Nothobranchius furzeri: one gene and its partner. The protein of the gene in region 1 purifies or fractionates together with the protein of each later gene. This does not show direct contact. Links are inferred from orthologs where the notes say so. Each region holds a gene or a part of one and is shown in the gene's direction. Other genes may lie near its edges.

Evidence for each region. The genes of interacting proteins can lie anywhere in the genome.
Region 2: the proteins of stk11 (region 1) and cops4 purify together in Homo sapiens (affinity purification with mass spectrometry; 4 studies listed by BioGRID and IntAct, with this or other methods). This does not show direct contact. The link is inferred for Nothobranchius furzeri from reciprocal best matches to the Homo sapiens genes STK11 and COPS4.

The regions. Positions count from the first base shown.
Region 1 is NC_091751.1:56,737,840-56,742,056, reverse strand, and holds the start of stk11 (serine/threonine-protein kinase STK11), read left to right. Parts: upstream 1-1,308; 5' UTR 1,309-2,066; intron 2,067-2,950; 5' UTR 2,951-3,639; coding exon 3,640-3,923; intron 3,924-4,217. Other genes in the region: sugp1 (SURP and G-patch domain-containing protein 1), read left to right, coding at 33-59. UniProt on the Homo sapiens protein: Tumor suppressor serine/threonine-protein kinase that controls the activity of AMP-activated protein kinase (AMPK) family members, thereby playing a role in various processes such as cell metabolism, cell polarity, apoptosis and DNA damage response.
Region 2 is NC_091746.1:62,988,499-62,992,730, forward strand, and holds the start of cops4 (COP9 signalosome complex subunit 4), read left to right. Parts: upstream 1-1,432; 5' UTR 1,433-1,491; coding exon 1,492-1,565; intron 1,566-3,766; exon of another isoform or gene 3,767-4,170; intron 4,171-4,232. UniProt on the Homo sapiens protein: Component of the COP9 signalosome complex (CSN), a complex involved in various cellular and developmental processes.

The DNA.
Region 1 (4,217 bases):
ATATTTGAATCTGCTGTGTTATCTTCCTGCAGAACAATCCCCGGAGGCCGTATTACTGATACAGAGGACCACTTCTAAAGCTCGTTTCTGCATCTGCCTCTTGTCTGCTCGCGCATTAATTGAACGTTTTAGCTGTGGAGATGTTTGAGTCCTACGTGTCAGAGAAGTTATTGAAATCCAAAAATTAACAACAGATTAGCTACATTTTATGTTTACCACAAAACAAAAATAACACAGCTCACGCTTTTGTTGCATTTCAGCTTTATAATGTAACGTGTTACAGTTTATAAAAACTTGTATTTAGTTTCTGTGATGATTTTACTCTCATCATTTTGCATCCTCAGAAATCTTTGCCCTCCTGACTATATAACAGTTTTGCATAAGAACACACTCTTCTGTGTAATTTGTGCATCTAGTGATGTTTTCACTGTGCTGTAATTATTGCTTCCTCTCATTGTATGCTGCAGTGATGACAATAAAAAAGATATCTTACTGAAATCTGAAATTGTTACCCAAGTCCTAACAAATGCTGACTTTAGAAAAATTTAACCTAAATCTGTTTTTGTCTTTTTCTCGTTGGTATTTTTTCATTTCTTCATTGCCGTAAAGCAGAGACGATTGGACTGGAGCGACCTGTGAGGAGGATAACAGACCAGTGAAATCAGACCTTCAGTTTGCCATTCCTTAGAGAGGTTTACATGGGATAAATATAACCCTGGAGACCCCAGCTAAGCAAGAGACACCTTTTGGCCACACCAGGAACATCTGAGGTTGATAAAGTTAAAAACATCAGTTGTAGGGGTGGCGCAAACTCACTGGGTTTTAAAGTGTTACAAAATGCAGGTTTCAATAGATACGTTTTGTTTCATTTATTTTGCCTAAATAGTTCCTAAAAATTGTCGATGAGATTTTTTGGGAGTTTGAAATCTTTAAAAATACTTTAATTTTACCATTTTATAGGTTTTGAACGTGCTTGAGTTTTTAATAAGTGCTTTCAAGTAGGAGTGCACTCAATAAATGACTGGTGATGCCAATCGCCCAACATTCAGCTGATTTGAGTCCCAAAGAGTAGATCCCCCCCTTTTAAACAGCAATAAAGTGCAAACAGATTTTCCATGCCAAATTTTTTACTTCTGGTCTTGAAATAAAATAAATTCTGGTAATTATAGTTCTTTAAGATAATGCAGATTATGCCAAAATTGATATTAGCAGGTCAGACCTGTGCAGAAATCAGCATCAGCCCTCGAAACACGAATCGGTGCATTTCTATTTGACTCTAGTTTTAGCACAATAACATTTACTTTTGCAAATAAAACAACGATTAACAAAAGGTGCTTTAATTTTAAAGGTGAAATGAACGAATTGTGGGGGAGTTTTGCAGAATTTATAAAAAATAAAATATAAAGCTGCGCCATATTATACTAAGACTGTCCTATTAGTTTTTAACTATCATTTTTCACTTATGCTTTAGTGAGTTATGAAGAAGGTCACAGATTTGAAAAAATGTTATGAATTTTTCAAAACAAAGCCCTGATCGTTTTATATTAATACCATAAATTCACATAGTTGAAACTGCAAAGGAACAAAAATGAAAGTTAGATAATTTAGTAATTTTTTACAATATACGAAAATAATGTAAATTTAAAAAAATCTGCGGAAACAACAAAATATGCAAAAGATGTTATTTTCCTGTAATTTTCTTTTTGATTATTTTTATTTTCGTCTAACTTACATTGCACTCATTTTTTAAATAAAAATAATGTATTCTTTACTGTGCGTTTTTAGGGAATTAATGACGTAAAAATAAAGCAGACAGGTCAGTTTTGTTGTTGCTCCAGAAGGGGAGGGGTGGGGAGGAGGACTTTGATTTGACGCAGTAACGTGTTGGGGCTGCTAGGGGGGGAGGTAAACAAGATGGCGACAACCTGAGAGGCAAGAGTAGCACGAATAGTGAGGAAATTTTTACTGATATTGTGTTATACTGAAGCGGAACGTTTGATTAATCGAGGACGAACACGTTAAAAGTATTTAAGCCTCACAAAGAAATAACCTTCATAAAGATTAAGGTAAGAGCCGGTTACTGTAGCTGCTTAGCTTGCTAGCTAGCAAATTGCATTGGAATCTGAGCGTCTCCGTTAGCCCGTGTTAGCTGGATCCTTCTGGTGAAATTTAAAGCTCGTTACGTTTTAGAACTGAGTTTGGTTTTATTATCAGACAAACACACTGCGATATAGTTGGATAATATCGCGCGTCTTCTTGTGAAGTTGGTTAATTGTAACGTCTGATGAAGCTTCTGCACATCATTCATCGTTAGCTACAGTTGTGTGACGACGTTTCGCTAGTCTCCCCGCACCCCCTCAGTTGGTCACCGGCCAAACAAGTTACTTTGGTTTTAAACTTTTCATGATTGTTCTAAAGGGGCACGCCGAATAAGTTGAAGTTAATACTGGAAAGCTAATTCATTCAGTCAAATTTTCTGCTAACCGCTAGCTCTAAGGTGTTCACACATTTTTGTTGTTTTTAGTTGTTTCCCCACGTTACTGTTAAACTACGGCTTATTAAGAAATACCCGAGGTTTTTTGTCCACATTTGAGCCCTTATACAAGAGGATTCTAGCTGTAATTCCTCAACCCTTTCTCAAGATGTGAATACCACCTATTTGAAAGCTCAGTTTTTGCATTTTAAGCCCAAACTCTTAAGCAAGTCCCTCAAATATGTTGTGATCAGCCAATTAAGTAGAAAACTTAACAAAACTGTGTCACAGTACTTTCTGACAAAGTTGTTTTTTTTGTTTGTATTAATGAAAAGGATCATGTTCCTGTGTCTGATCACAAGATGTTTACCCAGGTGTTTAAATATGTGTAAATAGATTTTTACTCAAATGTAATTTTGCAAAACAATCAGTGATTGTTCTGATAATTAAATATTTTTTTTTGCCCTTTTTCCTCAGACATCAGGCTGTAGAAACTGTAGTGACATGGAGGACACCTGAGGGCAGTTCAGCGTGGTGGACAGTTCAGTCGATCCCCTGGAGCCTGACTGACACCAGGGATTGGATTGATACTGCTGCATGCTTTGGTTGTCAATTTATGCCTGGATCCAATCCAACTATAAACACTTATGTGTCGGGTGGAAACTATGACATCCAGCAAGGACCTTTGACAGAAATGCTGTGCTGCAAGGCCTTGAAACAAGACTGGTTTCCTTTACCTAAAGTTGTATGGTATTAAACTATAAAACGATAGCCTAGACCGTCGGAAAAGAAAATAATAGTGTAGAATCCTTTTTTTTCCCATTTGAAGTTCTGTTTAGCTGCACTCATCAAAGACGTAGCTCATAATGCACAGTCTAAAGCACTAAATTAGCACTTGAGCCAATAGGTTCTGCACCTCTTTTAGTTTCTGTCTAAAATGAGCCCTAATTTTTACAGGTTTTAGATTTCTCTCTTACCTTTCGTCAGTTCTCAGGCTTTATTTCTCTCCTTCGCATTTTCCGCATTTTAAAACTTCTCTAATGGAAACCCTCGGTTCAGTGCTGAAAGGCTAACAGCAGATTACACCCCAGCAGCAATCATAGCCAGTTTTCAAACGTTTATTTTTTGCACGTAAGGCTTAGGCTGTGGTTGTAGAACCACCAGTCATGAGTGCCAGGGAGCTGCAGCATCTTGATTATCTAAATGAAAACGAACTTATGGAGATGGACACTTTCATTCACCGCATTGACTCTACAGAGGTGATCTATCAGCCACGGAGGAAGAGGGCAAAGCTGATTGGAAAGTATCTGATGGGAGATCTGCTAGGGGAAGGATCTTATGGCAAAGTGAAAGAAATGCTGGACTCGGAAACACTTTGTCGCAGGGCTGTGAAGATACTGAAGAAGAAAAAGCTTAGGAGGATTCCCAACGGAGAAGCCAATGTGAAAAAGTAAGTTGTTTTTATTTTTTTGTAAGCCTGTTATAGATTGTCATTCTTGGAAAAAAAAAAACTTGCAGCGCCGTAGCATCAGACCTACTACAAAGCTGGGTTATTAATTATTTTGAGTTAACACAGTTAAAAAATTAGGCTAACTTCTCTTCATATTGGTTTTTAAAACAGCACAACAATACAAACAACACTTCATGCTCAAATCATCACTTGAAAACATGATAATTTATTAATAGCTGCCTGGCAGACAACTAGCTTTATCACTGTTTTCCTGCTTGCTAGAATTGTTGTTTT
Region 2 (4,232 bases), on another chromosome or scaffold:
GTATTAACAGAGAGAACTCATCGTGAATAACGCGACTTCAACAGGAATGAGGAGGAGAATCGCGATGAACCGTGTGTCACGAACAAGTCCGAAACTCTAGCAGCGCACTGACAATGTAAACAATGTTAGCTTTCAATAATGCCTCCTCCTGTCACCTGAGATATTTAATCTGAACGTAACGTTGGGCCAACGATGCAGTTATTGCAACTGCCAACAGTTTGCTCTAACGGTCTCTACTCCTGCGGTGGGCTTGTTCTAAATCAGTATTAAATGGGACATTTATTAAATCATTCGTGACATTACTTTTTACTTTACGTCAGCGGTGTCCCCGAATAAACGAGAAAATGACACAAAAACACTAACTTACGCTTTACAGCTCCGTAAACTTGAAACAATTCACAGAAACTGGGTCTGATGACTCCAAATATAAAGAAAGAAAAATAAATTCGCGCAGAAGTCGGTTGAGATTCCGTCAAAACATGTCCCTGTTCAGCTAAAAGCGGTTACTTTCCATTTACGGTGCATTAAGTTAACCCAGAATCTGTGCACCAAATAACACTCAAAGTTATTTTAATTTTATACGTGTACAAACACAAAGAATATACAAATATATAATTTTAATTAATGAGAAATACTCGGCTACTTTCTGGCTACATAATCAGCTGCAGCCTCACCAACCCAACCCAGCGGGCAGGACAACTGTACCAGCAAAGTTAACGAGCCTGCTAACCCAAGCTAGCTAGCACAACATTATATCTCAACATGAAACACATTCTTAACCTTGCAGCTTCCTACGAGATAAAGTGTGGTGATAATTAGAATAAGCCAATACGCAATCGTTCTTACCCAAGATTTTAACGCTGGGCAGGGCTTCCAGATAAAACAAGAAAAGGAAAAAGCGATTGTTCAAAATACCGCGCCGAGCGCCATTCCTCCCTGACATTTCACAGGCCGGCCACGCCCTCCACGTAGAACGTCACTGTGACGCTACGCTTAAAGGTACAGCACTTTTAAGGCAAGCCGTTGTAACATATAGCCAAATCACTGTGTTCATGTGATCAATAGTCTGGTGTTAACTTATTGTTTAATGTGTATTTATTATCTTCATCTTTGTTTATTCTTTTGAGTTTTTTGTACATGTTTGCAATTTCGCAATTTCTTTATCCTATACCGTTACGCATGTATTTGACTGTTTCATTGGCATCTTTCAATTAAGTAAAAAATAAAATAATGAAAAAGAGAAGGGGTATTCACGCCCTCCAGTGGCAACAATTTAACTACTAGGAGGAGATGAGAAAGAGAAAAGGGAAATACGTTTATAAAGTTATTTAGTAGCAACCCGTCTTATAAATTATTTCAAAAGAAAACTACGAGATTTGGGGCGTTATTCCTGTGGTTATTCCATGACCATCCCATAGAACCATCCCAGATTCCAAGAAAATACCGGGAAGCAATTGCGCATGCGCGACTCACTTCAGGTGACGCACAATAATGGCGTCCGAGGTGAGACAGGAGCTTACTCAGCTGATGAATTCAAGTGGATCTCACAAAGACCTTGCTGCCAAGTATGTAGCGCTCAATCGAGAACCACTCATTCGTTTTTAATAAAAATGTTTTTTTTTTACGTTACCGCAACAGCGAGTCTCTGCGAGCTTACGTGTAGCTTATGTGTAGGCTAGGCTAAGCTACAGTTAGCTGCTTATTAGCTAGCTCTCCCTGTGAGCCTTAACGTTACAGTATTTCTAAAGACGAATGGTGAAATAATACTGGTTTATTTAGAATCTAGCTTCCTAGCTGTCCCTAGCGTATCCTTGATTTGGCTAAACAAATGCGTGTTTTTCCTTGTTTTCTATTGAAACTCCGTGCATCCTGTGTGTTTTCTGCAATTAACACCCATAATAAAATTTAAGAATCTAAACAGTTTAAGTCACTGTCAGATTAGTTTGGATATTATGTAAATAACTTCCATATGATACTAAAATTGTAAACAATGTCCTCCAATTTACTTATCCTGTGACCTTAAAAAAGAAAATTCGTCTCAAACATTTGATTTTAGATGTTGGAATGAAATTGTACACACGTATTTCATGAGTGATTTTCATGATCGGGTTAGGATACATAGTTGTTTAGTAGTTTTTGTTAATTATTGATAATTAGTAAAATAATATTGATCAAATGAGGAGATGTTGGGGTTTTCATACATCTGCAAAATTCCATAAATGCTCTTTAGATGTATAACAATGTAGAGCTGCAACATTTCTTCTAAGCTTCTTGCTAAATGTTTTAATTCAATTGCATCTTAATATCTCTGGAGTTAATACCAGAGGATGGGAAGTAACGGAAGTACTAATACTTAAGTAGTTTTTTTAGGTATCTGTACTTGAGTATTTTTTTTCTGACAACTTTTTACTCCCTACATTTGAGCCTAAATATCTGTACTTTCTACTCCTTACATTTTCAAAATGGTCTCGTTACTTCGACATTTCCCTCTCGTACTGCACGTATTACACGTATGTCGATGGCGTCATTACGTAACTGTCGGAACAAAACAGAGGGAAAAAAATCAATGGTGCGGCGAGGAGTCCGGTGGGAGCGCGGTTTGAGACCCAGAAGAACACTAACTAACAACATGGATGATGACAGTGGCCTGAGAAATGCTGCAGGTTTGGAGGAGCGATGCATTCATCATCCTTGGCCTTATTTAAAATAACTCTTTAACGTTGTTGGCTCCAAGAACGATTCGTGGCGGATGCGCTGTGTTTTGTGCCAGCCTAAAAACCTCGAGCTTCTGGCGTTTTAAGAATTCACCATCAAATCTGAAAAAACACGTACAGGTAAGCCTGATTTTATTTTTTCAGCTACTGCTGAGCTTTTAGGGCCACAATGGAAACAAGTGTTTTACAGTTTTCTGTGTTACCCTGTATATTTAATGTTTTTATGTCAAATTGTGTAATGGCACTTTCACGTTAGAGTCAGCTCGACCCCCACAGCCAGGTTGTTATCACACAGCCATCTCAGGGACACGGAAGTGAACAAGCACTTGGTCTCCACCATAAAAATGGCACGGAGAAATCTAAACACGAGCGCCAAACATTAGCAAACAAAAACAAAAAACAACTTGTGAGCTCGATCAGTTGAGACTAGTGGGATAAGACAGTTAAAACAATGGAGAACCTCGTAGTGATCAAACAACCGAGCCAATCCTAATGTGTAAGAGCCATTTTATTCTACAATTACATTATCTATGCAAGTAAAAAAAATCAATAAATCAATTGAGTTAATTTAGCATGATTTGTAAGTGAGTTTATAACTTTGGTAATGCAAGGAACTTCAGAGTGAGCAGATATCTGCAGGGGTTGGAGTAATTATCACAGAATATAAATGTTTTGGTCATAGCTGACCCCCCGCCCCACACTGAAAAACGTCTCGCTAGGCTTAGAGTTCTGAACACACGTTTGTCTGGTGTGTGTGTGTGTGTGTGTGTGTGTGTCATGCTCTAAATGTAACACATGTGAGCTGAGCTCTGCAATTGTAGTTATTTGTCAGTTACCCCTTTAGAAAACCAGTTGAAGCGCATTGGGATTTTTTCTTCTTCATCTTGTATTTTGTGGACCTAACTTTTTTGCTCTTCTCTTTGTGTAGAGGAAGCACGCAAATCACCTGGAAAGGTATAATGAGCTAACCTCGCCCAGTCTGAAGCGGAAATTGAACACCGACGACAGAGGCCCAAACAAACAACTAAAATTGTGGGAAACCAAGAGAGTTTCACAAAAAAGCATGGATGATGCCATCATTAACTTTGTTGTACAAGGTCTGCACCCGCTCAGTGTTGTCGAACAGGAGGGTTTCAAAACTTGTGCCTCACCTTACAACCAGATGTGACTGTAATGTCACGAGGCACCATAAAGAACAAAGTTGAGAAAGTAACACTGGAAATGAAGAAAAATCTAAAGGCTGCTTTGAATGTGGTTGAGCACATTGCTACCACCACAGACTGCTGGACTGCACACAGACGAAGTTTCATCGGTGTCACAGCACACTGGATAGAGCCTGAAACCATGGGAAGATGCTCTGCTGCACTAGCATGCAAACAGCTCAAAGGGCCGCACACATTTTCTGCACTCGCTGTTGCACTAAACGACATACATACAGTGCACTAAAAATTTCAATGTAAGTGCCATACCACTTCACTTTTCTAGCTTAGTGACTGTAGTATATGTAATAATAAAATA